Linked DNA regions of Elephas maximus indicus. The protein of the gene in region 1 binds, or shares a complex with, the protein of each later gene. Links are inferred from orthologs where the notes say so. Each region holds a gene or a part of one and is shown in the gene's direction. Other genes may lie near its edges.

Evidence for each region.
Region 2: DPM2 (region 1) and DPM3 share a complex: the UniProt entries of both Homo sapiens proteins name them as parts of the dolichol-phosphate mannose (DPM) synthase complex. The link is inferred for Elephas maximus indicus from reciprocal best matches to the Homo sapiens genes DPM2 and DPM3.
Region 3: DPM2 (region 1) and PIGH share a complex: the UniProt entries of both Homo sapiens proteins name them as parts of the glycosylphosphatidylinositol-N-acetylglucosaminyltransferase (GPI-GnT) complex. The link is inferred for Elephas maximus indicus from reciprocal best matches to the Homo sapiens genes DPM2 and PIGH.
Region 4: DPM2 (region 1) and PIGY share a complex: the UniProt entries of both Homo sapiens proteins name them as parts of the glycosylphosphatidylinositol-N-acetylglucosaminyltransferase (GPI-GnT) complex. The link is inferred for Elephas maximus indicus from reciprocal best matches to the Homo sapiens genes DPM2 and PIGY.

The regions. Positions count from the first base shown.
Region 1 is NC_064827.1:79,029,230-79,038,132, reverse strand, and holds DPM2 (dolichol phosphate-mannose biosynthesis regulatory protein), read left to right. Parts: upstream 1-5,447; 5' UTR 5,448-5,762; coding exon 5,763-5,765; intron 5,766-6,070; coding exon 6,071-6,160; intron 6,161-6,956; coding exon 6,957-7,059; intron 7,060-7,873; coding exon 7,874-7,932; 3' UTR 7,933-8,695; downstream 8,696-8,903. Other genes in the region: EEIG1 (protein FAM102A), read left to right, coding at 427-472. UniProt on the Homo sapiens protein: Regulates the biosynthesis of dolichol phosphate-mannose. Regulatory subunit of the dolichol-phosphate mannose (DPM) synthase complex; essential for the ER localization and stable expression of DPM1.
Region 2 is NC_064821.1:193,064,383-193,071,251, reverse strand, and holds DPM3 (dolichol-phosphate mannosyltransferase subunit 3), read left to right. Parts: upstream 1-4,733; 5' UTR 4,734-4,871; intron 4,872-4,958; 5' UTR 4,959-4,963; coding exon 4,964-5,245; 3' UTR 5,246-5,576; downstream 5,577-6,869. Other genes in the region: SLC50A1 (sugar transporter SWEET1), read right to left, coding at 6,288-6,389, 6,469-6,588. UniProt on the Homo sapiens protein: Stabilizer subunit of the dolichol-phosphate mannose (DPM) synthase complex; tethers catalytic subunit DPM1 to the endoplasmic reticulum.
Region 3 is NC_064828.1:79,953,900-79,961,839, reverse strand, and holds PIGH (phosphatidylinositol N-acetylglucosaminyltransferase subunit H), read left to right. Parts: upstream 1-4,127; 5' UTR 4,128-4,208; coding exon 4,209-4,388; intron 4,389-6,813; coding exon 6,814-7,023; intron 7,024-7,464; coding exon 7,465-7,695; 3' UTR 7,696-7,896; downstream 7,897-7,940. UniProt on the Homo sapiens protein: Part of the glycosylphosphatidylinositol-N-acetylglucosaminyltransferase (GPI-GnT) complex that catalyzes the transfer of N-acetylglucosamine from UDP-N-acetylglucosamine to phosphatidylinositol and participates in the first step of GPI biosynthesis.
Region 4 is NC_064823.1:66,837,425-66,844,807, reverse strand, and holds PIGY (phosphatidylinositol N-acetylglucosaminyltransferase subunit Y), read left to right. Parts: upstream 1-5,263; 5' UTR 5,264-5,280; coding exon 5,281-5,496; 3' UTR 5,497-6,037; downstream 6,038-7,383. Other genes in the region: PYURF (protein preY, mitochondrial), read left to right, coding at 3,504-3,688, 5,045-5,186. UniProt on the Homo sapiens protein: Part of the glycosylphosphatidylinositol-N-acetylglucosaminyltransferase (GPI-GnT) complex that catalyzes the transfer of N-acetylglucosamine from UDP-N-acetylglucosamine to phosphatidylinositol and participates in the first step of GPI biosynthesis.

The DNA.
Region 1 (8,903 bases):
GTCAGGCCTCCCCCTCCCCCACTGCCTTCCACTGGCCTCTTGGCAAACCTCAGAACCCCTCTGAGCCTTGATTTCTTCATCTGTCAAATGGGACGATGATACGGTCCCTGTCTGACAGAGTTGTTGTGAGGACGGGAATGGCACACCCACGTGTATGTCACTGGTGTCCAGGAAGAGCTTGGGAACAGAGCCTGTGCCAACTCTGTGGTCCCATAGACGACCTGGCAGCTAGTCTTGACTCTGATACTCACAATATGTGTCACCTTGAGCCAATGATTTAACATCTCTGAGCCTTAATTTCCCCCTCTGCAAAACAGTGCTGGTTAGCAGGACCTGCTTATAAAGTACCTGTCTGGGCTTGGCCCAGAGGGGCGCTGGGTACATGGAACAGTGAGGAGGTGGAGCTGACCTGTCTCTCCCCTGCAGGGTCTCCTCTGGGGTCTACGAGCCAGTCGTGATCGAAAGCCATTGAGGAGCAGGTGTCCAGACTGGAGAAGGGCCCTGCCTTCGTGGACATCCAGATTCATGTCATCCCACGAAGGACATTCCCCTTCAGATCCCCATCTGGGCCACATCTCATCTGTGCCTCTTCCATGTACTCCAGCCCCACATGTCCCCAAAGCATCATTCCATGGTCCTCCCCTCCATTCTGGGACCCTTCTGGCCCCCTGGAGCCCAGGCACCACTGTGAATATTCTCCTCTGAACCACTAGAGGGCAGGACAAGTAGGCCCTTGCAGCAGGTGGCCAAGACAAAGAGCAGGACTGTCTCCACTGGAGACTGACTGGACCCCCTTGGCCAGGGACAAGCAGCAGCCCTTAAATATGAGGAGGCTGCTTGTAGCTGGGAGGCCTCTTCCCTGCCTCTCCACCCACTCCAGGAACACTGGCTACAGCCACCCTGGCAGGGCCTGGCTCCATTGCCCCCTTGCCCTTGGGGAGCCAGTCCATCCCCAGAATCCTGCCACCGTGACCCTCTGACTGCTTAGTGCTTCAGCTATCCCTTCCTTCTATCCTGGGGGACCTGCTGGCGGCCTCCTCCTGGGAACCAAGACCTCACACCCCACCCACACTTCACCCCATCGAATGTTCTGCTGCTGCCCTAGCAGTCTGCACTTTGCACATGCTTGTCCCCAACACAGCCCCCCTGCCTCCTGCCACCCCTTCCCTGGTCCTGTCCCAAGGATCCCTGGCCTCTGCCTGCTGTGCAGTCAGAGGCCCAGGCATCACAGCCCGGCTGGAACGTGGCACTGCCTCTCCTCCCTCCAGTTAGCCACAGCTCAGGCCTGGGACCTGTGCTGAGAAAGGTCTGAACGTCAAGGGGTTTCCCCTCTGCCAGGGCTGGATCCTGAGCAGCTGGGTTTCATGTAGGAAGGCCAGGAAAGGTGCCCCCCAGGGCCTGGGAGGTTGGGGGCTTGGCTAGGCTGGACTTGGCAAGCAGAGCCCCCTTTCTCTGCCCTCAGGGTCAGCTGGCCCAGGCTAGGGCCAACACTGAAGAGACAGGTGGGCTGTGACTGGGCTGGCCCGGAGCTGGGTTCCTGGCCAGAAAAGACTCAACCCTCCTCTGAAAGCATCCCCTACTTCTGGGCCAGGCACAAATGAAGTCCTGTAAGAGACATCTCTCCAGTGGGGGACAGTCTGGCCCCCCTCCCTCTCCATTTCCCCCGCCCCAAGCCTCTGCTCTCAGCACTTTTCCTTCCCTGGTCCTTGTTACTTGCTTAAAGGTGGATTCTGGCTACTAGCCAGTCCCTGGACCCCCACCCCACCCCTCTTTTAAATTTCATTCATTTTGTATAAACCCAGCAGGCTGGTGTTTAGTTCTGTAACTTCCTTTTCATTTCTTTTCTCTCTCTGTTTTTTGTTTTTTTCTTTTTTTGACTTCACAGTTTGGTATTTTCTCCTCCCCCAGGTTAGGGGTAGGAGGTTCTGTGCTCTGCTCTGCCTGCTGGCTGGGTCTCAGCAGGGCTGGGCGTCTAGATGTGGGGAAGGGCACAGGCTGGTTCTCTGGTATGGGTAGGTGGGGTTCCTCCCCAGGCTGGGAGGTCACCTTACCCAGCTTCTCATCTGCCCCTGCTAGCAAGAGTTGGGGTTCTTGGTCCCGGAACCTGGCTGGCATTGGGACCAGAGCATTTTTAGGTTTGATTTTGTTTTTACTGTTTTATGATTTTTTTAATCACCTAAGTCTTTTTGTAGAAAATGAATGTTAGAAGGTGCCTGCCAAGGCAGGATGGAGCTCTAGTCAGCTCTGAGGGTCCCTTCCTGCCCCGCAGATGCCTGGCACTTTAAAAGGAAGCTGGTGGTGCTGTCTCCAAATGGGGTGACCCCCAGAAGGTGGGGGAGTGTCATCCTCCTTCTGTGTTTGTGTGACCTCAGCCCAGGGAGGTAGGAGGTGCATTCAGGGTGTTTTGGGGTCTGGTTTAAAGTTCTGGGGTTTCGGGCACAAAACTGTTGGCTTTAGCACTGTTGGGGAGACTCCTCCAAACCAGGAACTCCAGCCCTGCCCTAGGTGAGGTCTGAGCTCAGCAGTCACCCAAGAAGGAAATAGAGCCAGGCCACACTCTTCCAGTGCCAGGCCCTGGGCAGGAGAATTGGACTAGCTGAGAATTCGGCCACAACCAAATTAACACTGGCTGGAGCCAGAGGCCAGGAGCCCTGGCCTCGGCCCCACATGGGAGCCCTTTCCTCGGCCCTCTGGCCTCCTCGAGCTCAGTGAATCCCCACCAGGTGTGTACAGCTCCTGGACTTCAAATTCTATATAGAGATAGATATATTAGAGATATTTTTGGAAAGGAATTGGTCTATGCAATGCCAGTTTGGAATCTTCTTCAAGGACAGTTTTAATATTTTTACTAGGAGTTTTAAAGAAAATAAAGGTCTACAGTATTTTTTAGGGTGATTTCTGGTCACCCCACAAACTGACCACATGATATGATCTACCAGGGTGGAAAATGTCCACGTTTTCTCTTAGGGAGTTGAGTGGTGAGGCAAGGTTTTTTTGTTTGTTTGTTTTTTATTCCTCTCCTTTCTAACAGAATGCTGCCACCACCGCCCCCGAATTCAGCGGACTGTGTTTGTATCTCTGTCCCAGCTTCTATTGTAGAAAACATTTGAAGGGGAAATCAGTCTAGTATCAGTGTCTTGGTTTCAAGGGAAAAAAATAAATATTGTGGTTTTTGTTTTGGTATGGCATGTTGTTTTTTACTTGTTACTTTACCACATTGACTTTGGGGTCAAAGACAGCATCAGAAGGAAGCCCAGATGTGTGAGTGAGGTGATGTTCTGGGGGCTGGGGAAGATGTCCGTGGTCAGGGTTCTCCAAGTCTTGGCTACAGTCATTATCACCACCTTTATTATTCCAAATCTGAGTGAGGAAACCAAAGCCCAGAAGGGTCATTACTTGCTAAGCTCGCACAGCTACTAAGTGGCAGGTCCTGGATTTGAATTTGTCTCTGACTTAAGAGCCCAAGTTCTAACCACTGCTCTGTGGACCTCCCCAGCAGTCAGGTTGCCTGTAATGAGTGTGGCTGAGGGCAAATAACTCAGTTTTCTCAGCTGCAAAATGGGGTTGTGTATTATGAGAAAGGAAGTATACAGCCTAACCTGTGGGAGGTGCTGGGCAGGTTCCCAGCCTCTCTAGCCCCAGGCCAGAGTAGTCTCCATGCTAGGCCTTGGGCCTCTCTCCCCGTTTACCTGACTCCAGAGTCACACAGAACTGGGCAGCCTGGCCAAGCTCTGGGAAAGGTAGGTTGCCCTGGCCTTTAATGAGCTCAGAAATGATGGAAAGCCTAGTGGCTTTGGACAGGCCAGAAGGGACCATGTTCCCCAGCCTGGCCCCTAGCCCTAGGCCAACATTAGCCCCCCTCCTCAGGGCTACCCCAACTCATGGCCCCATTAAGCCCTAATGCTAATTCTCAGCCCTTTCCTCTGTCAGGCACACTCAGGGAGGGAAAACTTGGCTTCCAGCCAAGCCCAAAATCAGTCCTGAGATTGAAGGGAACTGTTCTATAAGCTTTTTTTTTTTGGCGGGGGGGTGGGTAACCCCCATAGTCAGAAATGAGCTCACATGACTCAAGGAGATAAATGCTGCTGGCAGGAGCAAACCATGCCAGGCTCAGACTTGGCTGCTTCCTCCTTGAAGGGGAAACAGCAGGCCCAGGGCCTCCACGTAACCCATCAAGGAGGCCTGGAGTGCCCAGTTGTTGTACCTTCTAGCATTCCAGGATCTAAAAAATCAGAGTCTTAAAGCTAGTTGATTGATGTGTGCCAAGCCCCATTCTGGATACAGCAGTGACCATAGGCCTTACCCTCAGGGAGCTCACAGTGGGCCAGACCAACACCTTAGCCAATTAAAACGGGGAGACAGGAGGGAGCCCCTGCTTCCCGATGCCAAAGCCACTTCCCTGGGGACTCCCCAGTGAGGCCTAATGGATGAGGAGCTGCTGGCCCTGTGAGCTGTGGGGAGATGTCAAAGATGATCTGGCCCAACCACCCTTTGTTCTCAAATGAAAAGGCCTCCAAAGCGTGTAGGGTGGGGGGGAGGTGGCAGCCCTGCCATCTCCTGGCCAGTCCAATGTGTCTGGGCTGCTGCAACACCCTGGTGAAGGGAGGGAGGGGCCCCTGGCCCAGCCCGCAGTGAAGAGGGACACAGGACAGGTCGCCAGGGAAGTAGGACCTATCCCTAAGCCAGGCTCCCCTTATCTACCAATTGAAATCTCCCACATCTCTGCGGATTCAAATCAGCCTCCCTTCCTCGCACCGCAGACTCAGCAGTGAACACTCTCTTGTAGCTGGTGAAAACCCCAGGTTTGGAGGCTGAGGTGGAAGATTAGAAAGGCAGCTTTATTTCCTTCCGCAAGGAAAGGAACACCCAAGGGCTGGTGCTTCCAAGGCTGTTCAAGGATAAGGTTTAAAAAAAAAGGTTTAAGGAGGTCACTTTTATAGAGTTTACAAACAGGGAGATCATGTAAATACATCAGCAACATTCTAAATCATGCCACGCAGGCACAATAAGTGTTAACATACAACTTCTTTGAATTTGTGTTTAGAAAATAGCAGTTAAACCCCTTCTAAGGGTGGGAAAGTTAATATATACAAGGCACTTAATGAGCCAAAGTTAACTCTAGGTCTCTCGAACGAGCTTAAACCAGCTCTCGAGGCTTATTGTCCTGCCTCAAAGAGGAAATACAAGCTCTAAGATGTTATCTCTTGCTTGGTTCCTGACCACACTTGCTGTGGGATTTTTCCCAGTTATCAAAGGCTCCTGCCTTACTCTGTACCCTTTCCTTCAGGAGGCATGATAGGGACCGGGAAGCGACACCGGATTCTGGTCTCAGTTTCACCATTCCTTGAATTGTGACCTCCAGCAGGTCTCTGCCCGTTTCTGAGCCTCACTTTCGACCTCTGAAAAATGGGACTTCCGACCCCCAGCCCATCCTGCTCTGATTTTGGGTCTTTGCAATGTATAGGAATAAGCTAGGTTCCTGGGGCGAACGCGACAAGACTGAGGCCTAGAGGGCCAGGCAGTCTGGGTCCCCAACTCTGTCCTATTTCCCTAGAGGCCTTCGGGGAACAATCTTCCCCACATTGCCCTTGAGAAACTTCATTTCCCGACATGCAAAGGGGAGGCGGTGCCTGCCTGTCTTAGGTAACGTGGTCTTGGGCCTGCCTGAGGACTACGACTCCCGGCGTGCCTCGCGGGTCAAAGCAAAAAAAGTCCCGGAACCGGAAGTGGCTTGCTGCTCCGGCGTCGGAACGTATCGGGTAATGGTGAGTTTGGGGCAGAGTGCGGCCTGTTGAGGGCATTTAGGGGCTGGTGGTGCTTCCGCTTAGGAGCTGGGTCTTCGGCACTCGGAACCGAAATTTCCTTTCCGCTGGCCCATTGTACGGATGAAAACGCCGAGGCCCGGTACCCCTTGCCCAGCCTGGAAACTGACTCCATAGTTGGCCCTCAATACGTTTGTTGAATGAACGGGAAATTTAGAGCATAATCAGGCTGCGACGCTCCCGCTCCACGCCCCCGCGCGCCTAAATGGCGAGTCAGGGTTGTTATCTGAGCCCTTCGTTTCCTCCAGGCCACGGGAACAGACCAGGTGGTGGGACTCGTTCTCGTCGCTGTTAGCCTGATCATCTTCACCTACTACACCGTCTGGGTGATCATCTTGGTACGTCTCCCCCACCCTCTATGCACCTACTCCCGTCCCTAACACCGTCCCTAACAACGTTTAAGAAGCTACTGTGTGCCAGATACTGTGCTAGGTGTTTCACCTGCCTTTACCTCACTTAATCCCGAGAACTCCATTATAAAAAGATGCTAGTGGTGTTCCTTTTTTATAGGTGAGGAAGCTGGGGTTCAGGGAAAAGGTTTAGCCCAAGGTCGTGTGCTTAACCACTACACTGTAAAGCCCTGTTCCTGAATTGCTTTGCCTTTGATGGGAATTCTAGTCTTTCTGTTTATCCTGCTAGCTCCTGGACACAGCTACTGCTAATGAATTTTGTGCGGGCTTTTGGGATTTTTTTTTTCTTTCTTATGGGAAAATTTAGCAGTTATTGCTTAGAAATTGTAGTGTATTTGGAAGGCAAAATCTTGTAGAACCTCATATCCTTCAAAGAAAGATGTTAGTAAAGATCTTGGAACTGAGGTTGAGAATCAGGATTCCTTATGTACTTCTTGCCCCTGTAAGGCTGTAAGTGCCCTAGGGCAGGTGCCCAGCACCAACCCAGGGCGGGTGGCTTGGGTGGGCATTAGCCCACCAAACGAGTACCCAGTAAACAATCATTAAACGAATGAAGGAAACATATCAAGACACGCAATGCCACCATCTTAAAAGCAAATGCTGTCTTGATGCCCTGAATGGGGTCAGCCCCTTGGACAGAGGAGGTAGGATATTTGGGCTTAGGGGGCTGAGGGAGACTAGGCAAGGTGAACTATGCTCACCAGAGCTCTGCCCTTGGTGCCAGCCATTCATTGACAGCCAACATGTCATCCACAAGTATTTCCTGCCCCGAGCCTATGCTGTCGCCATCCCGTTGGCCGTGGGCCTCCTACTGCTCCTCTTTGTAGGTAAGTCATCACTCTCTCAACCCTCGGCATGACTGTCTGGAGGGCCCCCACGACCTTCTCTCATCCCCGAAAATACTTCCACACTTTGGCGTTTGCTGTAGATCTACTTGAGGCTTATTGTCCCCAGGTCTTTCCCTGGGGTTGTCCTGTTTCCATTTCAAGGATGGAAATCAGTGGTGACTCCTCTGGTTTACCCAATGCCTCAAGCTCATAGGACTCCAGTGAGATGTCTGCCTTTTTCCTACCACCACCACTCCCGTAACTCTGCTCACACCTCAGTTACCTCTTACCCTCTCGTTACCCTGGTTTGTAGTTCTTGCACCTCTCTATCTCCTGTGGTTTAGTCTTGGGGGCTTTCTAAGAGCTGAAACTATGTCTTAGTCATTTCTTTGTCCACAGCACCTGACACAGGGTTTGCCACTGAGTTGGGACTCACGAAAGTGGTTTGGATGAGTCAGCAATTGAGTGGATGATAGGATAGATGGGTGCATGGACGATGGATGTGGAGTGGGCAGATCGGTGGGTGGTTAGGCAGGTGGACAGGGGATTGATTGAATGTGTAAATGCATAGATGGAATTTCAAACACCAAACACAGTGTCTTGCATGTGGTAGGGACTCCTTTGGTGTTTGTGAGTAGATTCGTGGCTTGATAAATGAGTAGAATGACTAGAAAGATGATCAGGTGGCCTGGAGGGTGGTAGGGTAGATGCATGGCCCTGCGTGTGGGTTGCTGCACCATGCCATGTCCTTCCCTGGCCTTCCAGCAGCCCTGAGCCCAGATCTTACCTAGTTTGTGTGGTCTGTATGTTCCAGGAGTGTTCATCACCTTCGTGATGGTGAAGAACAAGAAGGTGGCCAAGAAGGCTCAGTGAAGTCCCGGCAGGGGATGAAGCTGTCAGTCCCTTTTCTGCTTCCCACCAGGACAGGGACCAAGGGTGGGAGTCAGTAGGACTGGTCCAGGTACTAAGGCCCCTCAAGCCTGGCTGCCCTGCAGTCATGCCCATGGGATGGAGCTGTTCAGGACTCACCCCTGACTGACCAGAGCCCCTGCTCCTCCCCTGTTCACCCTTCCAGAAGCCAGGAGGGAGGAGTACCTGGAAGTCTCCTTCTCACCTACTTCTGCCCCAGGACCTGAAAGATGCTGATCCTTTCCACCTCACCTTCATACCCCCTGTTACATTTTCTTCTGGGTTATACCCTTTTGCTGCAGTTTCCCTCCTGTCACATGCTGATGTTGGACTTAACGGGCTCTGAGGGAGCACGCGATCTTTCCCCACCATGTCCTGCTTCTCTACAGAGGCAGCTTTCTCAAGTCTGACACAGCCCCAGGCCCTACAAGGACTTCTGGACCTGGAAAGCCTAGGGGAAGTGCTGACAGACCCTGGGATCATTGCCAGGGATCAGGGCACATTAGGGTGGCCACACTGGACCCCCAGACTGACCACTCTTCATGGAGGTCCAGCCCCCCGGCCCCAGTGCTGGCCTATGCGGGAGAGTTTAACAATAAACATTGATCATGTGTTTGTCTTTGTGCCACTCTTGAACAAGGGAGCTGGCCATGAGGACTGGAGAGGAGCTCGGAGCTGGCCCCTGCATTGGCCTCAGGTCAGAAGACCCTGGTTCATGCAGTGAGGGTACCTCAGGTGCCTCCTCTGTACCAGCCCTGTGCCAGATACAAGGAAGAGCAGGGACTGGTTCTGGCCTGGTAGAGCTCACAGCTGGGGACTCAGTGCAGGGGAGTTGGCATAAGTGCTTGGAGGAGGAGCTCTGGGCTTCTACCCACCAGATGGCCAGGTGGGGGCCCTGGCACAGGAATCAACCACAGACCATATCAGCCTCCACT
Region 2 (6,869 bases), on another chromosome or scaffold:
TCAACAGATTAAGGGCCATCTATAACTGAGAGACTGTGGAAGTGCAGAAGAGGCAGGTGGTGACCAACCTTGCAAGCGGGGCCAGGCCAGGGAGGCTGCGTGAAGGATGCGGCATGCAAGCTCAAAATTAGAGAAACAGGTACTCACCTTTTCTTGTAGCACGTTTAGGGCTTCTCTGTTTACATGAATTTACAAAAGTAACATTTTAAATTAATTTATTTTTTAATGTACTGGTAATTACTTTTGTTATAAGGTGTGAGGTGGGACTCTAACTCAATTTACTTTTTCCAATGGTAAAATAGTTGCAAATAGTTTTAGAACAATTAATCTTTCCTCACTCACTGGAGATGTCACACCTGTCATGCTAAACTTGTATGTCTGCTTGGTCTAGACCTTCACTTTCTATTCTGTTCCATTCATCTAGGGAGGGAGGTGCTACAGTGTAGTGGTAAACTGTACAGACTCTGGAGTCAGGTTGTCTGGGTTGTGGCTCAGTTTCCTCATTTGAAAAATAGGGGGATAATAATAATACCTACTTCATAGCATTGCTATGAAGATTAAATGAGATAATACACTTAAAGCATGTCACATATGCCTGGCACATAGTAATCAAGGAATGTCAGTTATTATCATGATCCTTATCCACCCACTCCTGTACCAGTAACACAAATACCAAAAAAAAAAAAAAAAAACCCAAAAACCAAAAAAAAAAAAAAAAAAAAAAAACCTGCTGCCATAGAGTCGATTCCAACTCATAGCGACCCTATAGGATAGAGTCGAACTGCCCCCAAGAGTTTCCAAGGAGCTCCTGGCGGATTTGAGCTGCCGACCCTTTGGTTAGGCACCAGGGTGAATACAGTGGAGTGAAATTGCTAAGAACATGGCTTTGGTTTAGATGAAACGAGCTCTGCTACTTACTATCTGCATGGCCTTGGGCAAGTTACTTATCTCTTACCTTCTCTGCATCTTGGTTTCCTCATCTATAGGTGGAGCTGTAAAAGTATCCACTGAACCCAAAAACTATTGTAAAAATGAGACATGACAATGTTGCACAGGGCATGACACAGAATAGCCCCGCAACAATGTTTCTTTTACTGCTGATTATGATTATCGATCTCTCTGGCTGGTGGGGCAAGCCCCTTCTTGTTATCTCTCCTCCCGGAAACTTTTTTTTCTGGGAAGTGGCAGTCAGTCTTCCAGGGCCAGTTCTACTCCGGGTTAATAAAACAGAATTTCTGGATTTACAAAGATGATGCTCAGTTTCTGAACTGGGCTAACATCTGAAAGTCGTTGTGACCGGGGAAGCCTGACTGAGCAACCAGTAGGATTTGCAGGGAGATGAGGATAGGGACTTACATGGCAGGTTTTTTAGGTCCTGAGATACCCACAGTCCCTGTCCTTCCTCCTTCATTAAAAAACAAACAAAAAACAGTTGTTGTCCAGCTGATTCTGACTCGTGGCGATCCCATGTATGTCAGAGTGGAACTGTGCTCCAGGGGGTTTTCAGTGGCTGATTTTAGGGGCGTAGATTGTTAGGCCTTTCTTCTGAGGTGCTTCTGGGTGGACTCGAACCTCCAATTGCCAACCTTGTGGATAGCAGCCACATATAGCAGATTTTAAAAATGGTTTTTATTTTGTCTTAATTTTTACGTATGCATATACTTAAAAAATCAACTTAGCTCTACAAGCCTTGTCATGAAAAATGACAGTCCCCTGCTCCACTTCTCCCACCCTGCATACACACTCCTCAGAGACAACCACTCTCAAGTTTCTTGGCTGCTTTTTCTGGTATTTGTCTCAGTATTTCTAAATGATATCCTTATATTATTATTTCTTGATTTTTCCCATTTTAGATGGAACCAATTGACTTCCAGCCACAGAAGATGAGCGTTTAATTTTTTCTACTCCTGATTCTCCTAATATACTCCTCTCCCCCACTCTCCCAATTTTTGGTTAAATCAATACACAGTGTTTACATTATTAGGGCTGTGAAAATATTCCTCACACCTCTGCTCTGTAGTGTTTGTACTAAGACTCTGTGAACCTGTAAAAACTGCTTTTGTTCTACCCAGCTACCACCAATGGCTGCCCTGACAGGGAACACAACAGAGAGTCCCTGACAGAGCAGGAGAAAAGTGGGATGCAGACCTCAAATTCTAGCAAAAAGACCAGACTTATGGTCTGACAGAGAGTGAAAGGACCCCAGAGGCCATGGCCCCTGGACTCTCTGCTAGCCCAAAACTAAAACCATTCCTGAAGCCAACTCTTCAGACAAAGATTAGACTGGACTATAAGACATGAAATGATACTGGTGAGGAGTGTGCTTCTTAGCTCAAGTAGGCACATGAAACTATGTGGGCAGCTCCTGTCTGGAGGTGAGGTGAGAAGGCAGAGGGGGACAGGAGCTGGTTGAATGGACACCTGAAATACAGGGTGGAGAGGAGGAGTGCGCTGTCACATTGTAGGGAGAGCAACTAGGGTCATATAACAGTGTGTGAATGGGTTTTTGTATGAGAAACTGACTTGAATCGCGAACTTTTACTTAAAGCACAATTTAAAAAAGAAACAAAAACCCTACTTTTGTTCATTCATATCACGGACATTGGTTGAGAAACCTCATTCTCTAAAATCATAGACACCCCCAAACTTGCCTATTTGAAATCACGTTAATGAGAATGGAATATCTCACTCTTGTCTGAAGACCTGAGCCATGTTGGTTACTGTCTTAGTCATCTAGTGCTGCTTATAAAAGAACTACCACAAGTGGATGGCTTTAACGAGGAGAAATTTATTCTCTCACAGTCTAGTAGGCTACAAGTCCAAATTCACGGCATCAGCTCCCGGGGAAGTCTTTCTCTTCTGTTGGCTCTGGAGGAAGGTCCTTGTCATTAATCTTCCTGTGGTCTGGAAGCTTCTCTGCACAGGAACCTCAGGTCCAAAGGATACGCTCTGCTCCTGGAGCTGCTTTCTTGGTGGCATGAGGTCCCCCAGTCTCTCGATTCGCTTCTGTCTTTTATATCTCAAAAGAGATTGGCTTAAGACAGGATCTAATCTTGTAGATCTCATCAATACAACCGCTGCTAGTCCATCTCATTAACATCATAGTGATAGGATTTACAACACATAAGAAAGTCACATCAGATGAGAAAATGCTGGATAATCACAATACTGGGAATCATGGCCCAGCCAAATTGATACACATATTTTTGGGGAACACAATTCAATCCCTAACAGTTACTGTGACACAGAGAGGCAGCCTCGATTTCCAACCTAGGTGCAAACCCAATAGTGGGTTTCTGGACACAACATTCCACATTTATCTTAACTTTGTGCTTTCCAGCCAGACCCTGAGTCCACTTCTCAGCCGGGGTTTGTTGTTGATTCCTTTACATACAGCTGTGTTTTCCTTTGAACTCATCAAAACATTGCTTCCTTTAAATTTTACCTAAACTCAAACCCGTTGCCCTCCAGCAGACCCTGACTCGTGGCGACCCTATGTGTGTGTCAGAGTAGAACTGTGCTCCGCAGGGTTTTCAGTCACTGTGAACTTTTGGAAGTAGATCGCCAGGAGTTTTTCCGGAGGCATCTCTGGGTAGACTCGAACCTCCAACTTTTGGTTATAAGTGGAGAGAGTTAACCTTTTGCACCACCCAGGGACTCCACCTAAACTCAGCCCTTTCCCGTATCCTGTAAGACTCTGTTTCTTCCTTCGTTGGATGAACTGCCCCGTGGTTCCTCTGGTGTGTGCTTTACCTTGCAGGAGCAAGTTAATAAAGTTAGTAAGCCGAACTCTAACTATGGGCTTTATCAATTCTTTCTTTCTTTTTTTAATAGCTTTGTTTTCCCTGAAGTTGTAATTGTCTGATCTTTTCTTTTGCTTGGTTTTCTGTATAAAACCAAACTCATTACTGTAGAGTCGACTCCAGCTCAATGTGATCCAATAGAACAAAGTAGGACTTCCCCACGGGGTTTCCAAGGAGCAGCTGGTGGATTCAAACTGCTGACCTTTTGGTTTGCAGCCAAGCTCTTAACCACTGTGCCACCAGAGCCTCGGCTTTCTATATACGCATCAGGAATTCATCCCCAACACTCCGAAAGAAGAATACGCCTTCTTTCGATGCCTTTAAATATATCAGGTAATCCTTCCGTTCCCCCAGTTCAACTCTTTTATTTTTTTTTCCTTTTAAAGGCACTCCCGCCCCTCCGCCCGGAGCCCTCCATTCTTTGGTTCCAAGCTTCTTCGATTAGTTGTCATCGTGACTAGTTGTCAGTGTATCCACTTTCCTGACTCCTGCTTTCCCCCTCCACCCCAGGAGGGGACAGGTCTCTTGACATCTCTATACCCCGCAGTCTGCCACGGGGCTCAAAAAATGTTCGAATGAATAAACGAATGAAATAAGAAGTTAGTGAATGAATGAATGAATGGTATTTCTGTACTGTAGAACGGGGTTTAAGGGGAAGGACATTACGATTCCACTTTGTTGCAAGATATGAGTGTGTCTTCAGGCTTTCTACAAGCCTCGTGCCATCTGCTTAGGGCGCAACTTGAAGCAGGGCCCCGAGCTAGGGGAGCCGGCCCAAAGCCTCTCGGGGCCCAGCAAGCGGCTTGCCAAGAGTCGGTTGAGGCCGCCTTGGGGAAGACAGGGGCCGCAAGTACCCTAGGCTACTGCACGGAGAAAGACTACAATTCCCAGAAGGCCGAGCAGAAGCAGAGCATGCGCCGTAGGCTTCCAGACACTGACGTCCCAGCCGCGCTAGGCAAAGAAGACGCGGGGCAGAGAGGGAACGGTGGGTTGAGAACTGAATGGAGAGGGCGAGAACAGCGAGAACCACCGAGCAGCGGAGCTGAGGTTAGGTGATCCGGAGAGTGGGTGAGTGAGAAGCACAGGCACTAGGTCTCACATGCAGAGGGGATGGCGGGGTGGAAGGGACTCCGAGCTTGCTTTCTCTTCCCGCAGGGACCATGACGAAGCTAGCGCAGTGGCTGTGGGGGCTGGCGCTCCTGGGCTCCACCTGGGCGGCCCTGACCATGGGCCCCACCCTGGGCCTGGAGCTGCCCTTGACCTGCCGGGAGGTCCTGTGGCCGCTGCCCGCCTATTTGCTGGTGACCGTCGGCTGCTTTGCCCTGGGCACCGTGGGCTATCGCGTGGCCACTTTTCATGACTGCGAAGACGCCGCCCTGGAGCTGCAGACTCAGATCCAGGAGGCCCGGGCCGATTTGGCCCGCAAGGGCCTGCGCTTCTAACGCCCTCCCCGACCCCTGCCCGGGCAGCCCTCCCTCCCAGCCCCCGTTAAAGAGCAAATTCATTTTCATTTGCTGCGTTGTTAAGTGTGAGTGTGGGGTATGGTGATTAGGGATGTGTACCGGCAGTGGAGAAGTGAGAGGTTCCAGCTTCCTGAGGTCGTATCAACCGTTATCTGCGCAACCTGCCGGCATTCCTGTTTTGAACTGAAGGAGGCAAAGACCTTAAGATCTCTCAGCATGGAGATGTCATTCCACTTTCCTCGTCCTTTTAACCCTGTCAGAAGATATGCCTAACCTCTATTCTCCTTAATAAAAGCCAAGCTCCATTCTTTTTGAGGTCTTTCTGGGTCTTTCCAACGTCTTTTTTTTTTTTTTTTTAGATACCTTTTCTGAGCCAACCTTTGTTGTTGTTGTTAGTTGCCATCCAGTCGATTCCGACTCATGGCGACCCCATGTGTTGCAGAGTAGAACTGCACTCCATAGGGTTTTCAAGCCTGTGACCTTTTGGAAGCAGATTGCCAGCCTGTCTTCTGAGGCACCTCTGGGTGGGTTCAAACCACCAACTTTTTGCCTAGTACTTGAGGACTTAACCATTTGCACCACCCAGGGACTCCTGAGCAGCCCTACCAGCCCTAAAGTAGCGGTGGATGAGGCAGGGCACCCTTACCCTGCTAAAAGAGTGATTGCTTTGTCACTATCCTTTACTAAACCAGGCAGGTTGAGAATCACTGAATAGAGAATGAGCCGTGGTGGGCAGCGGTGAGGAACAGTTTATTCTAAGGCACATTCTAAAGGTATCACCCCAACCTCCAAAATTAAAAAAAATAATCTCTCTAAAAAATAAAAGCAGTTCATCTCCCAGGTCCCACCGCATCTTCTAGGTAAAGCTCTTACTTTGGTTCTTCTATTCACAAAGTCATCCCTTTTTCTTTTCCACAACCCACTATACCCGTGGGGGGCTAGTCAACAGGAACAGCTGAAATGAGGGGTTCTCTTTGGTATTAGGTTGCCATTAGAGTGCCCAGTGGTCAGGTGAGATGCCTCAGGTTTGCAGGAGCCGATAGTTCTTGTCTTTCTCCTGGGGATACTTCCGGAAAAGCCAGAGGCGGATCAAGCTGGTGAAGATTCCTGGAAGGTTGGGCACCTGAAATCATAAGGCTACTATGACGAGAGGAGCTGGTTTTCCACCTTGCACGCCTGTCACCCATCCCTCTTCTGCTTACCATAATGTAGAGATCTCTGAGTCGAAACCCATAGAGGGTCCAAGAGGCAGAGGAGAGGAGGGTGGCAATGGTGAGTGAGTAGGAGAGACGCTGGGTTGACTGAGTCTTAATGACGTTGGCCTGTGAAAAAGGATGAAAGACAAGCCCTGATCAGAGGCTATCGAAGTCTTCCCACTGCCTCTATAAAGTGAGGCCCCACCCCTAGCCCAAACACATAGTAAAGCTCTCACCTAGCCTAAGAATTTCCTCAGGAAAAAGGTTAAACATTCTCCCGGATAGTCTATCACCCAACTCTTCCCTCCTGCTTCGCACCCACCCAGGATTTGGATTGCCCCTTCCTCTGGGGGGTAAACCACAGTATCTGGCTATGGGAGCCTGGCCCCTTTTATCTCTCCCATCTG
Region 3 (7,940 bases), on another chromosome or scaffold:
GACCCAGGGTCCCTGCATGGAGAAGCTCCTACTCCAGGGGAAGACTGATGAGAAGGCCGACAGAGAGGGAAAGCCATCCCATGGAGGTGACATCCTGAATTTGGACTTTTTGCCTACTTTACTGTGAGGAAATAAATTTCTCTTTGTTAAACCCATCCACTTGTGGCATTTCTGTTATAGTAGCACAAGATAACTAAAACAAGCAACCACTAAAAAAACCATATGAAGAGATATACTCAAAAACACTAGATAAATCAAAATGGAATTCTAGAAATGAACAGATGAAAAGTTTATTTCTTTAAAACCCCATTTCATTGGGATTACTTTTTACTTACGTGGGCCTTTGCTTTTTCTCCTCTATGGGTTGTTATTAGTTTCCTTTGAGTTCACAGAACGCTTAGGGGTAAGTGGCCCTTAGTAGGAGTCCTACCATCAGTTAACATAGCAGTAGCAATCATTAATATCATAAAAAAGCAAACAGAATAGAAGCAACAGTACAAGACAGAGGAGCCCTGGTAGCCCAGTGGTTAAGAGCTCAGGTAACCAAAAGGGCAGCAGTTCGAATCCACCAGCTGCTCCTTGGAAACGCTATGGGGCTGCTCTACTCTGTCCTACAGGGTTGCTGAGTCAGAATCAACTGGTCAGCAACAGCTTTTGTTTTTGGTTTAAGATTGTATTCTTGGAATGACTATTTAACCCATAAATGTAAGCAAACACTAAAATAGAACTTATGGAAGGGTTTTAAGAATCTGGCATGGACCCTAAAAATAAAAAGTTAACTGAACTTGTATTTTAATTACTCTATTTTCCTTTGCTATTCAAATTCAAAACCACTCAGGCTCCAAGAATTACTTTAACAGTGGAAATAATTACCCATCATACCAAAAGTAAGTCTGGGAGATTAATCCTGTGAATTGCCACCTCAGTGCTTAATTCACTCCAATATAGTTCCTGGTTCTTGTAGCCAGAATTCTTTGAAGAATATGGCCTTTGCCTGACTAAATGTTCACCAGATCATTTCTCCTCAACCATCCCTCCCCACACTGATAGATGCTGTTTCTCTGCCTCCATTGAAGTTAGGTATAGCCATGCTAATGAGTTCTGGCCAATGGAAATGTGGGCCAAAGACTTGGCCAGAAAACCGTCTCATGCACCTTCCTCCATTCTTGCCCCTCATCTGCCAGCCAGATGCAGAGGATCCAATGGAGAGGCCCACGAGAAGGCCCTAGGGGGTTGTGCAGCCATTAGATGCAAGGAGTCTGGGTCGCTGACTTGGAAGCGTGTCACCTCACCACGAACACCCATGTGGAACTATGCACTTAAGATAAACAGTTATTGTGTCAAGCCACTGAAATTGTAAGGTGTTTTGTTACAGCAGTTATCCTACCTTGAAAATAGAGGGTATATATTTTTTCTCATGCTCCCTTTCTCTATTTTTCCATGACTGACCCTGCAAATATAGTCCATGGAACTTTTGAGATTTGAGAATATTTTGAAATCCAATACTGAGAGCTAAAACAATCACTCCTTGATACTTTTGCAAGATCATGGTCATGAAAACTTGTCATTTCACATTCTAACTGGAACCTAGGTAAATAGCAAACACATAGGTTTCAATTTCTACTGAGCTGCCAAACTGCATAATAGAGTTAAGAAGATACTGTGATGTGACAAAACAAAGTAGATATAAAGATTTTGGGATTACTTTACTACCATATATATTCCTAATAGTATTCAAAAAATGTTAAGTGTACATTTAGGTGTCTTTTTCTTTCTATGCCTCTACTGCTGTGAAACTTTCTAAGCCGGTACAGGTTCTTAACGTTTCTTGTGCCACAGACCCTTTGTAAGTCTGGTGAAGCTAACGGATCCCTTATCACAATCATATTTTAAATTGCATTTAAAAAAAAAAACAAAACATTGGATTTCAAAGAAAACCAACAGAATGTGAATATCCAAAACCAAACCTGTTGCTGTCCAGTCTATTCCGACTCATAGTAACCCTATAAGACGGAGTCTAAGTGCCACATAGGGTCTCCGAGGTTGTATAATCTTTACAGGAGCAGAATGCCACATCTTTCTCCTGCGGAGCAGCTGGTGGGTTCAGACTGACAACCTTTTGGTTGGCAGCTGAGCACTTAACCACTATGCCACCAGGGCTCCTTGAATTGAAATATAGTAATCAAAATATTTTTCAAATGTGTTATAGCCATATGTATCTCTTTACTGACACATTAATAACAAGATCTAGTGATGGGTCTAATAATTACTGCAATTTTGAAGTAGTTATGAGTGAAAAGGACATTTTGAGATAACAATTATGGAGACCCTGGTGGCACAGTGGTTAAGTGCTCCAGGCACTGGAAACCCTATGGGGCAGTTCTACCCTGTCCTATAGGGTCACTGTGAGTCAGAATTGACTCGATGGTGACAGGTTTGATTTTTATAACAATTATTGTGAAAAGAAAATATTTGTGATTTCTATTGGTGACAAAATCACTGCTGATACTACTTGGTTTGTGTCTGCACTCATAATCAAAAGAAATGTTAAATTTCAGTTAGAAGTTAATGAAACTAAAGGGGAAATTTTTTCCCCATCCAAGTCCGCAGACTCTGAATGCTATTAGGGATGCCTGGGCGAGAACTCCAGGACTAGAGGTCTCTCTAAAACACCAACGGTGCTTATGTCTCAGTGGGGGCGATATAGGTGGTTTAAAGTTTTCTTCCTTGTTGTACAGTTAAAAATCTCAAATTTTCAACAATACGCAAATATTACTTTTATAATTGTAAAAGACATTAAATGATATTCACAAAAAAAGTATTGGTTGGAAGATTCGGGGCACAGAAATAAAACTGGAAAAACAAAGCAAAGCAATATTTGAAGAAAAATTTAGGAAAAGAAAAGGAAAAAAATTCTGCATGAGAATGGAGCAACTGAACCTGACTGGCATCGGAGAGACTTAAAGCTAGTGAGAACTCTATGCCATTTATCCTTACGCCTCAGGGCTGAAGCATCATAACTATTTTAATAGGCCACACCGTGGCTCACGGGACACATCTGAGGTAAGAGGAGGGAACCCACAGGACTTATTACATACATTTAGTAATCCTATTTTCCATAAACTGCATCTCACACTCCTACTGTCTACCTCCCAGCAGAGGTCTGGGAGAGAGAAGTTGGACAGTGAAATCTAACTCCTTACAGCGTCTCATACAAGACCCTTCTGGATCTTTTACCTATCTGTCCCCAGGCACCTGTCTCCATGGCCTTTATATACCTCCAATAAGCTCACCTTGTTCCAGCCTCGAGGGCTTTGTCTTTGTTCGTCCTTCTTCCTGACAAAGTGCACCTGCAGAACTCCCTGAGACCAATGTTCGGTTCCTTCTCATTCTTCTAGCTCCAAAGTTTCCCTCTCAGAGAGACGTTCTCTTGAATGCCCTGTTTAAAGTCCCCGGCCCACCCGTCCCTGCCTGTGGTCATCACCTTATTGCCGACGGCTTTCTGAAATTATTTCCATATTATTTCTCCCACTAGAAAGGAAGCCACTTGAGGACAGGGACCTTGTCAATGTTATTCACCACTGTATCCTCAGCACCTAAAACTATCTAGCACACAATGAACCCAAACCAAGCCCAGTGCCGTCGAGTCGATTCCGACTCCTAGCGACCCTATAGAACAGAGCAGAACTGCCCCCAGAGTTTCCAAGGAGCGCCTGGCGGATTCGAAATGCCGACCCTTTGGTTAGCAGCGGTAGCACTTAACCACTACGCCACCAGGGTTTCCCTAGTACACAATAAAAAAGGTGTCATTAAATATGTAACGAATAAAACAATGATTGGAATGTATGAATACCTGTGGACTGTCTCCTTGGGGCACACTCTGGCTTAGAAATATAAATCAGTTTGTCGGGCGAAACCACGTTTGTTAGTAGCGGTTTTAATCTGTCTGCTGAGTCGCTGGCCCCCTACGACTCTTTGGAGAAGACAAAGAAGCCGAAAATAGCGGCCGAACACACCGGGGGCACGATGAACTCTTCACTTAACCTCCCGGACTCTCAGCGCCGAACTGCGGCTGCGCCGAACGGGGGGCGGGACGCTGACCCGGCTCTCCGGAAGTGGCCCGAGAGCCGGCGAGACGGCGCGGTGGGGCGGGCTAGAGTGGCGCGGCGCGGCGCGGCGCGGCCCCGCTGGGTGGGGGCGAGCCGGCAATGGAGGACGAGCGGAGCTTCTCGGACATCTGCGGCGGCCGCCTGGCCCTGCAGCGCCGCTACTATTCCCCCTCTTGCCGGGAGTTCTGCCTCAGCTGCCCTCGGCTCTCGCTGCGCTCCCTCACCGCTGTCACCTGCACCGTGTGGCTGGCGGCCTACGGACTCTTCACCCTCTGTGAGGTAATGGCCGGTCGGCCTCTCCCTGCCCTCGGAGTTGGGGCTCGGATTTGGAAGGCTCTTTGGGGTCTTTTTGGTGGAGCTCGAGCCTCTTGCCGGATCCTCCTACAGTTGTAGGGTCGGAGGACGAGGACTCGCTGGTTCTGGAGACGCCATTGTCCTGCTGGACGGATCTTTTCATTACGTTTAGTGAAGTTTGTGCTCTTGTACCATCTCCCTCTCGTGGATCCCTGTTCTGCTTTTGTGGATCCACCCAGCATACATCTTAGTCCTTGCACGACAGCCTAAAATGTAAACTTCCATGTGCGCTATGTAGTTATGCTCCTAGTAATTTAATTCCGAGAGTTCAGAGAACTGTTAGTGGATCACCCTCATCCATCGCTTCCACTCCTCACAGGTATCATTGTTAACAATACCTTATATAGTCTTTCAGAAACTCTCTGCCTCTACAAGTGTGTATGTGTATATATAGTATATGTGTGTGTGTCTAGATACACACAGACGTTAAAAGCTTGAAAGCAGCTTTTATAGTTCCTCCTAATTTCTTTTTCAAGGCAATCTATCTACCTCCCTGAATCCCTTCCCCAGTTTCACGTATTTTCTGAAGAACTATGAACTTTTCGAGCAATTTCCAGACTCAGTCCTATTTTTTCTGAGCCTCAGTTTTCGCATCTCTAAAATGGAATATTTGCCACACTAGCTTCACGGTATTGTTGTTGTGTGCCCTCCAGTCAATTCCAACTCTTAACGACCAAGTAGCACAGAGTACAGTTGCCCCTTAGGGTTTCCAAGGTTGTAGATCTTCACTGAAGCCGACAGCCACATCTTTCTCCTGTGGAGCAGCTGGTGGGTTCGAACTATGGACCTTTTGATTAACAGTGCCACCAGGACCTCTTCCACAGTATTGTATTGTGGGTCAAATGTCCTAACTTTGTGACAGCGCTCAGTTAAAAGGACTTATCCTAATTGCCTTTCCCAGGGTAAGTTCTAGTTTCATGTATAGTGTCCTGGATGGAATATATTCCAGGAGTGGTCTGGTCAAAGCTAAATACAGCAGAGCTATTTATTCCGTATTTTGGTAGTTTCTATTACTGCATCCATTAGCTTTTTTGCTACCACAGCATATTTCAGAGCATGGTAATTTATCTATGTTTATCTGTCTAGCTACCTAAATTTATAATACAGTTGAATTTTAATACTAGCCTGAGTTCTGCCCCTGTGGGCATGTGGGGAGCAGGGACAGATAACTTATTAACTGCCTATTGAGTGCCAGGTGTTTTACTGAATGCCTCATTTCAACCTCAGAAGAAAACCAAGGCTCAGAAAGAGTAATAACTTATCTATCCAAGGTCGCAAATCTACAAAGCTAGTAAATGGTAGACCTGGGATTCAAATCCAAGGCTGTTTGACTCTGAAGCCGTTTCTTTTTGTTTATACCATGTTGCCTCCTCCATGTGGAGGGCTGATCTTAGGCAATTTTAAAATAGGAGAATTTTGTTTTTATGCCATCTCCACTTCATGTGGCAAAGGCCATGGCATCAAACCTCACTATGAACTTCATAAAGAAAGGACCTCTTCTTCCTTAGCTGTCTTTTTAAGATGAACTAAGTTTTTCAGAAGCCCCTCTAGCTGACCTCCCCTGACATCTCATTGGCCAGACTTGTCATGTGCCCATTCCTAACCAATCATTGGCAAAAGGAGTGGGACCAGGTCATGATTCACTCCAAGTTCTACTAGGAAGAAGCGGCAGTTGAATAGGCAGTGAGTAGTATCTGCAGCACTGGTGCGAAGTACTTTACAATTGTTCAGTCTGTGATTTTGCACTGTATATTCTGCTGAGGGAGCAAGAGAGGAAAAGATCTGGGTCCCTAAATTGCACTTTTGGAAGAAAAATCTTTGACATTGGTGTGATGCCAGACATTTTGCTGTGGATTTCCCTCCACAGACCTGTCCATTTGGAAGCTATCTGGATCTATTCCACTATCCACTTGTATGCTGTTGTTAGTTGCCACCAAGTTGATTCTGACTCATGGTGACACCATGTGTGCGGAATAGAACTGTGGGGTTTTCAAGGCTGTGACCTCTCAGAAGCAGATTGACAGGCCTGCCTCCCAAGGCACCTCAGGATGGGTTCGAACTGCCAACCTTTCTGCTAGTAGTCAAGCACTTAACCATTTATACCACCCAAGGACTCCTATATACTTGCAGAACCCAGATAAAAGTGGTTTCCTCTTTTGTATGGTTTCCTCTTATGTATGGGTCTTGCATCTGTTCAACTCACAGTAGAACAAAGATTTTCGCCTGTCCTTTGTCCCTTTCTGCCCCCCCCCGCCCCGCCCCGCCCCGCCCGAGTTGATTTGTTAACACAGCAGCAGTGTGCGCAGGACCACTTGGTAATCTTACTGCCTGCCTCTGGCTCTCTCTTCAGAACAGCATGATCCTCTCTGCTGCCATCTTCATCACCCTCTTAGGCCTACTTGGTTACCTCCATTTTGTGAAGATTGATCAGGAGACTCTGTTAATCATTGATTCCCTGGGCATCCAGCTGACCTCATCCTACGCCTCAGGCAAAGAAAGCACCACCTTTATTGAGATGGGCAAGGTGAAGGATATTGTCATTAACGAGGCTATTTACATGGTAAGTGTATAATAAGTATTACAGGCCTTTCTGGAGGAAGTAGCAGGTGGGGTGTTCCTGAATCAAATACTAAAGTATTTGATGTCATAGAATTAAATTTGAGGAATCTTCTGCTCTAGTACTTGCAGTGTTTCTTTTTTTGGCTGATGTGTCTATAAACCATAAGAGTGAAACTTACGTTGAAAAGATAGGACTATTTTTAAAGAGAATAGGTTTTTATGAATAAGGAATCAGCACTTCAACTGTTTCTAGCCCAGCTTCAAAATCATCTCTTGTATTTTTCATTTAAAGAATGAGAATATACTTCTCCTTTTCCATTTCAAGGTTATCAGGTGTTCTACTACTTAGAGAAAAAGTTTTGAGCCTCCCCTTGAAGAAGAAGAAAAAGAAAACAAACCGAGTTTCACTTGGACTTCTGCTATTTGGTTTCTTTTCTTACAGCAGAAGGTGATTTACTACCTCTGCATTTTATTGAAGGATCCAGTGGAACCACATGGGATATCCCAAGTAGTACCTGTCTTCCAGGTGAGCACAGAACACTTAAGTTTCCTTTCTCCAGAGAAATTCTCTACCTCCTCTCGTACTCCTTGCATATGCACTGCTGTTTATGCTCAGTGGGAATGTAAACTTTTGTCAGAGTTTTTGAAGATACCTGGCAACTATTTCCAGTGAAAATTAGGATTTTAGTTATTTTAGAAGTTCCTCTCTGAAGCAAATATAGGCTTTCAAAAATAATATGAATTCATGCAAATTTTAGAGAAAAAATAATCAAATATGTAGCAATTTCTGCCCATAAATTACTATTCATCTACTTTGACTCTCAGTTTCCATTATACAGTTTCACCCAGATGTCATTATCTACACATATTAGGCACTATTTTGTGCTTTGTTTATTAAATAGTTATTTAATATGCATT
Region 4 (7,383 bases), on another chromosome or scaffold:
CACTGCTTCCATGAGCACTAATTGTGGACCCAAGTAAAATGAAATCCTTGACAACGTCAGTCTTTTCTCCATTTATCATGACGTTGCTTATTGGTCCAGTTTTGAGGATTTTTGTTTTCTTTATGTTGAGGTACAATCCATATGGAAGGCTATAGTCTCTGATCTTCATCAGTGAGTGCTTCAAGTCCTCTTCACTTTCAGCAAGCAAGGGTTGTGTCATCTGCATATCACAGGTTCTAAATGAGTATTCCTTCAGTCCTGATGCTGCCTTCTTCATGTAGTAGAGCTTCTTGGATTATTTGCTCAGCATATAGATTAAGTATGGTGAAAGGATACAACCCTGAGGCACACCTTTTCTGACTTTAAACCACACAGTATCCCCTTGTTCTGTTCAAACAACTGCCTCTTGGTCTATGTACAGATTCTGCATGAGCACAATTAAGTGTTCTAGAACTTCCCTTTCTGGGTGCCATGGCAGAATGGGCCTGAGGTCTGGGTCAGGTCCCCTTGGGGACTGTGGGCTGCAGGGTGGGGTGGGGTGTGTCAAGGCAGAGGCAGAAGGGACTAGATGGAGGAGGGCAAGAGGGTGGGTTGGTACTCTGGTTCCAGGCTGTATGGGTTGCTAAGTGGTTATAGCCACTATTCACCAGAGGGGTGGGCGTTGTAGGAGCGTGCTCCTGTGGTTACCTGGTAAGACAGCCTGGGCTTCTCCGTGAGTTGCAGCCAGCAAATGTGGTCTTACTTAGTTCTGTGTGTCTGCACTGTACCTCTATCTATAGAAGTGCCTTTCTGTGTGCAGGGTTCTTGGCTTTATTCCAACATGGCAACACTGAGTCATGCTGTCTGGTCATGAACCTCCACTCTGTACCTCTATTCCTTCCCCATTTTCTATCAGTTTCTTCTCCTCAGTAACTTCCAATCTAATACTTTCCCCCTTCATTTAAGGCTTGGAGTTCTAGGACTGATGTCTGTATCTATTTTACTTGCTTTTGGGGTTTTTGCTGCTGGGATGGTTTAGTGCATCTGACTAGTCTGCCATCTTCTGGTGTGTACATTTGAATAATAGTTGTATTAGCTGGTCTTCCTTGTAGGCGTGTAGATATTATCCTTCACTGACAGTGTGGTACTTCAGGACGGATCTTGAAATGTTCTTCTTTGACGATGAATGTGATGCCGTTCCTTTTCAATTTATCATTCCTGGCATAGTAGGCCATATGATTGTCCAATTTAAAATGGCCAATACCAGTCCATTTCAGCTCACTAATGCCTAGGATATTGATCTTTATGCATTCCTTTTCATTTCTGAAAGATTTCCTAGATTCATACTTCGTACATTCCATGTTCCAGTTATTAATGGATGCTTGCAGCTGTGTCTTCTCATTTTGAGTTGTGCCACCTCAGCAAATGAAGGTTTTGAAAGCTTGATTTCATCCACGTAATTCAGGTCTTCTCTCCTTTGAGGAGGCAGCAATTCCCTAGTTGTATTTTAAATGCCTTTCAACCTGAGGGGCTCATTTTCTGGCACTATGTCAGACAATGTTACACTGCTATTCATAAGATTTTCACTGGCCAATGTTTTCAGGAGTAGACTGCCGGGTCCTTCTTCCTAGTCTTAGTCTGGAAGCTCCGCTGAAACCTGCCCACCAAGGGTGACCCTGCTGGTATTTGAAGTACCGGTGGCATAGCTTCCAGCATTACAGCAATATGCAAAACACCACAGTAGGACAAACTGACAGATGAGTGGTGGAAGAGGATACTGAGCGGTTTAAAACAACAAAAAAAGGTGTGCATCAGGGCTGTATCTTTTTGCCATACTTATTTAACCTGTATGCTGAGCAAATATTCTTAGAAACCAGACTATATGAAGAAGAACTCAGCAACAAGATTGGAAGAATACTCATTAACACTCTGTGATATGCAGATGACACAACCTTGTTAGCTGAAAAAGAAGAGAACTTGAAGCACTTAATAAGAGCAAATACTACAGCCTTAGGTAAAGAAAACAAAAACTTTCACAACTGGACCAATAAGTAACATCATAATAAAGGGAGAAAAGATTGAAGTTGTCAAGGATTTCATTTTACTTGGGTCCACAGTCAATGCCCATGGACACAGCAGTTAAGAAATCAAAAGACTCATCGCACTGGGCAAATCTGCTGCAAAAAACCTCTTTAAAGTGTTAAAAAGCAAAGATGTCACCTTGAGGAATAAGGTGCACCTGACCCAAGTCACGGAATTTTCAATCACCTCATATGCGTGAGAAAGCTGGACAATGAATGAGGAAGACTGAAGAAGGACTGACACCTTTGAATTATGTTGGTGAAGAATACTGAATACACCATGGGCTGCCAGAAGAACAAATAAATCTGTCTTGGAAGAGAGTACAGCCAGAATGTTCCCTGGAAGTGAGGATGGTGAGACTTCGTCTCACATACTTTGGACATGTTATCAGGAGGGACCAGTCCCCAGAAAAGGACATCATGCTTGGAAAAGTTCAGGGTCAGCAAAAAAGAGGAAGACCCTCAAGGAGATAGGCTGACACAGTGTCTGCAATGCTCTTGGGTGCAAGTATAGCAACGGTTGTGAGGATGGGGCAGGACCAGGCAGTGTTTGTTCTGTTATACATAGGGTCACTATGAGTTGGGATGGATTGGAGGGCACCTAACAACAACAACATACAGACAAGGAAACAGCAATTATTTGTCAGAAGTCTTGCAGGTAGTTAACTAAGGAGCTGGAACCAAGCTGTACAGGTCTCAGAGCCTAATCTCTTGCTACACTCTAAGATCAAAACCTGCATCACTCCCTGGGACAGTCAGAGGCAAACATGGGGTCTTAAATTCAATTAATGGACATCTGCCTAATTATACAATTATTTAAACTCCTCGCTGCCTCCAAGCGCAGTAAATTAGTTGTGATTTATTATGCAACTGAAATCACAATGCTTGAGTCATACAGGGTAAGAAATATGAAAATTCTGGATGTTTTGGAGGTTAAGAGGCTCAAGCCATTCTTTTCAGGTTCTTAAATTTTATTTTTTAATGAAGGGAAAAAAAAGGTCAAAACAGGGTTACAGAAATTCACATTAAACACTAAACGAATTAATGCTTTTAACAAAGAGCTTAAAGCTTCATTTGGAGATAACTGCGTATGTCCACGTCTAAAGCTGTGTGCATCTGAGACCCGGACACTGGCTTCCTGACAGCCCTGAAGAAAACTCAACAGAGCCCGACTTAAGCATCGGTTTTGTCTGTGGTTGTGTAAATGCGATGGGTTGGGCACCCGGGGCCTCCGGCCCCAGGCAGTTACCTCAGCCGCAGGGCGGCGATACAGCCAAAGCAACTGGGTCAAGAGCGCCTCCGGAACTAAAGCGTTAGCCTGTGTCTGCTCCAGGGCTCCGTTTCTCCGAGCACCGGGGGGCGGGGCCTGGCCAGTGGGGCTCGGCGGAGAGCAGCCCGGGCTGGCTGAGGGTGCAGCGAGGTGAGGTCGCCGGCTGCTGGACCATGCTGAGTGGCGCGTGCGGCAGGCTCGTCTCAGCGCCGCTGTCCGCCGTCGCCCGCAGGTGGCTGCACGCGTCGGTGCCTAGACTGTCGGCGGACCGGAGCGCGAAGGCGGGGGAGCAGCCCCGCGCCTTGGACCCGGCGCTGCTGGAGTTCCTGGTGTGCCCGCTCTCCAAGAAGCCGCTCAGGTGGGACTTGCCGGGCTCCGTTTTCCCTTCGCGGCCTCCTGTTGGGAGGAGAGGGCAGGTAGACCGCGCGGCCTCTCACAGCCTTTGGGCAGCTTTTCAGGTTCATATGTGGTCTCGGCGGCCATTTTGTGGGCCCAGGCCCTGCTGAGCGCCCACGCAGCTTCTCCTGCGACCTGAAGGGCGAAAGGAGACTTGAGGCGAGCCGAGCCCCAGGCCTCCCAAATTAGCCGCCGGCCCGCCGGAATGCATCGGAGCGTTGATAGGTGCTCTAAGGAATCACCAGGGTGCATTTGCGGGGGGTGGGGGACGTTGTCTGGGTACCGACACGAGCGGACCGGGTCGGAATGCCTGGGGGCGGGGCCTGGACGTTTGTTTTTCTGAAAAGGACCATGGATGATTCGTGAAGCGTTCAGGTTTTAAACCCACGGTGATGAAAAATATGCTAGTAGCTTATTTTTGTGAAATGGCCGTGTACAGCTACTGCCTAACGGTATTTTAAAAATTTGAGCTTTGTTTGCTGCCCTTTGGCTCTTCACTCTGAACTAACTGGTTATTGCAAATGCTCTCTTAACCTTTAACATAGTCTTTGCTAAAGCGGCTGTACAGTTCCAGCTATTAAAACTGAACATTGACAACGGTAGTGTTACAAATTGCATAAACTAAACACCAAAATGTTAACAGTGATTATACTTGGGTGCTAGATTGCCGGTAATTTTTATTTTCATCTTTTTGCATTTCTCTTTTACTAGTGTGCCCTATAATTAACATAACGGTCATTCAATTTTTTTTAAACCTTTAAATTATTGTTGGGTCTGTCTTTTAGCTAATTGTGTAACTCGCTCACTTTAGACTTGTTTCCAAAGTTTCCTCATTTCTGCCCTCCCATCGTTCTCAAACTTTTGTGTATTTTGATTTTTCAGCGATTTCCATCTAGTGGATCAGTTAGGATACTTTACTGAGCATTTATTCTTAAATCAGGAAATTGAATTTTTCTCTAGTTTCTGTTCCAGTAGTAAATGGATTGGGATGGTTTTGGGGTTAGCCAGAGGAATGAAGGGATGTCTGGATGAAAAGAGGAAATATTTTCTGAGCAGTATGAGAGAAAACTTTTAACTAAGGCATGACTTGGGAATACAGTAAAAAGAGAATTTGAGAGAAATTGATTAAAATGGGAACAATTACAGATTTTATAAGAGAAATGGTAATATTGGCTATTGCTGCTTTTAGAATTAAAGAATACAGTTCAGTGTTAACTCTGTCGAGAATTGGACAAATAGTATTATTTATTGAATATCAAGGTCTTCCAAGAATTTTGTTTTACAAAATTCGCTTTGTGATTCTTTTCTTTTTTCCTAGATACGAAGCATCGACAAATGAATTGATTAATGAAGAGTTGGGAATAGCATATCCAGTCATCGATGGCATTCCTAATATGATACCACAGGCAGCTAGGATGACACATCAAAATAAGAAGAAAGAAGAAATGGAGCAGCACTAAACCATAATTTTTTTAAAAAAAAGAAAACTGAATTCTCTTAATATCATTTATCTTTTAAAAAGTCAGAGTGGCGGGTAATAAGTGTGGAAGAAGAATGTTTCTGTCTCTTCCTACGTTGACTGTCCTTATTCCGCTGGTTTCTTTAGCAGGACTGTTCTACTCAGCCTCTGTGGAAGAAAACTTCCCTCAGGGCTGCACTAGCACAGCCAGCCTCTGCTTTTATAGTCTGCTCTTGCCGATTACCATACCGGTTTATGTGTTCTTCCACCTTTGGACTTGGATGGGTATTAAACTCTTCAGGCATAATTAATACAGCCAGATCCAAGATGGTCTTGGGCCTTTCTCTGAAAGTTCAACCAGATTGAAATACTGGAATCCCGTTTAGTTTGCAGGAAAGGTACTTTGCCTTGCTTCTGTCAGAAGCTTAGGACTATGGGAGGCTTAAGCTGCAGGAGCTTCTTTTATTATACTCTTGTTCTGCCCTTATTTTTTCAAAGTTCTGATTTATAACAACTACTACTATATCAGAAGAAACATTTTGACAAGTGTCTTGGAAATTAATAGCCTCATCCATCAGCTGATAACTTTATACTTTATCCTACTCGTCTAAAAAGTTAGTCATTTGAAATGTTGTTTGGTTATTTAGATTTAAGCTGTTTAGTCAAGTCACATGCTAGGAACGATTGAAACAATTCCAGAGAAGCTGTGCTAGAAGAGTTCTAAAGAAATGCCTTTGAACTGGTGTGATATAAAACCTTACAATAAAATGGAAATTTCACATACTTAGAAAAAATCTTAGTTTGTAAAATTATCTTCATTTCTTTGGCATCACATGCTTACATTAATAATAATAAAATAAGATGTCCACACTTTCCCAAGTCGATTCTGACTTACAGGGTTGCTATGAGTCGGAATCCACTCGAAGGCAGTGCGTTTGGTTTTTTTTGCGGGGGGGGGGGGGGGGTGGGTAGTGCTTTTTGTCACAAGAGTGGTATAAAGGGAGAAAAATTGTAAAAATGTTCCAAATTTTAAAATGTAGGCTATGTTGAGAGACATGTACTTTGGACATGCTGTAACAAATACCACAAGTGGATGGCTTTAGCAAAGAGAAATTTTACTTTCTCACGGTCTAGTAGGCTACCTACCTGTTGCCATTGAGTTGATTCCGACTAGAAATCCAAATTAGAAATCCAAATTCAGCTCGTCAGCTCCAGCTCCTTGTCATCAGTCTTCCCCTGCCTAGGAGCTTCTCCCCACAGAAACCCCTGGTCCAAAGGACACCCTCTGCTCCCAGCACTGCTTTCTTGGTGGTATGAGGCCCTCAACTCTGCTTGCTTCTGTTTGTTTTATCTCTTGTAAGGTAAAAGGTGGTACAGGCCATACCCCAGAGGAACTCGTGTTACATTGGATTAGAGATGTGACCTGAGTAGGGGTGTTCCATCCCACCCTAATCCTCTTTCACCACAGCAGAGATTATCATTTATAACACATAGGAAAACCACAAAATGGAAGACAACCACACAATACTGGGAATCATGGCCTAACCAAGTTGACATATTTTGGGGGGACACAATTCAATCTATGACAGTTGTTACGAGTTGGAAGTGACTCAAAGTTACCTAGCAACAATGTTTAGAGACACATTTAATACCTAAAATAGAAACATTTCCCAGGAAAAGAGCTCCACTTACCTTTGGGAGGACTTGCAAATAGCTGGTTATGCCTTGTTGAGCTTAGAGTTAGTTTCAGTTTTATTTTCCTGACCTAATCAGAAGACCTGTTTAGCACTACTAAGGGTATGCACATTTGACACATTTTGACACATTGATAGCTGGTGATTTTCCAGAAATCTTTAAACAAGCCTGATAGAGTATGATACAATAAGTATTTCAGAGGTGTAACAAATGTTTCAGTACTTATGCAAAAAAAAAGAACAGTTTCATTAATTCTTACTAGAATCGTAAAGTAGTTTAACAGAAGCTTTGGATAGTGACATTCAAGGAAAAAACGAGATTAGATGCATTTTCTACTTCATTAAGTGTATACTGTAGTACAAATAACATTTTTAAATTACCCTATTATGACAGTATACAAATAACCTGGAAGACTACAGAGGTTCCCAGTCATTTCCTGATGAGGACTTGTATTTAATTGACACTAAATCTCAAGATTAACCAACTTGAGAAGTGTGGTCACT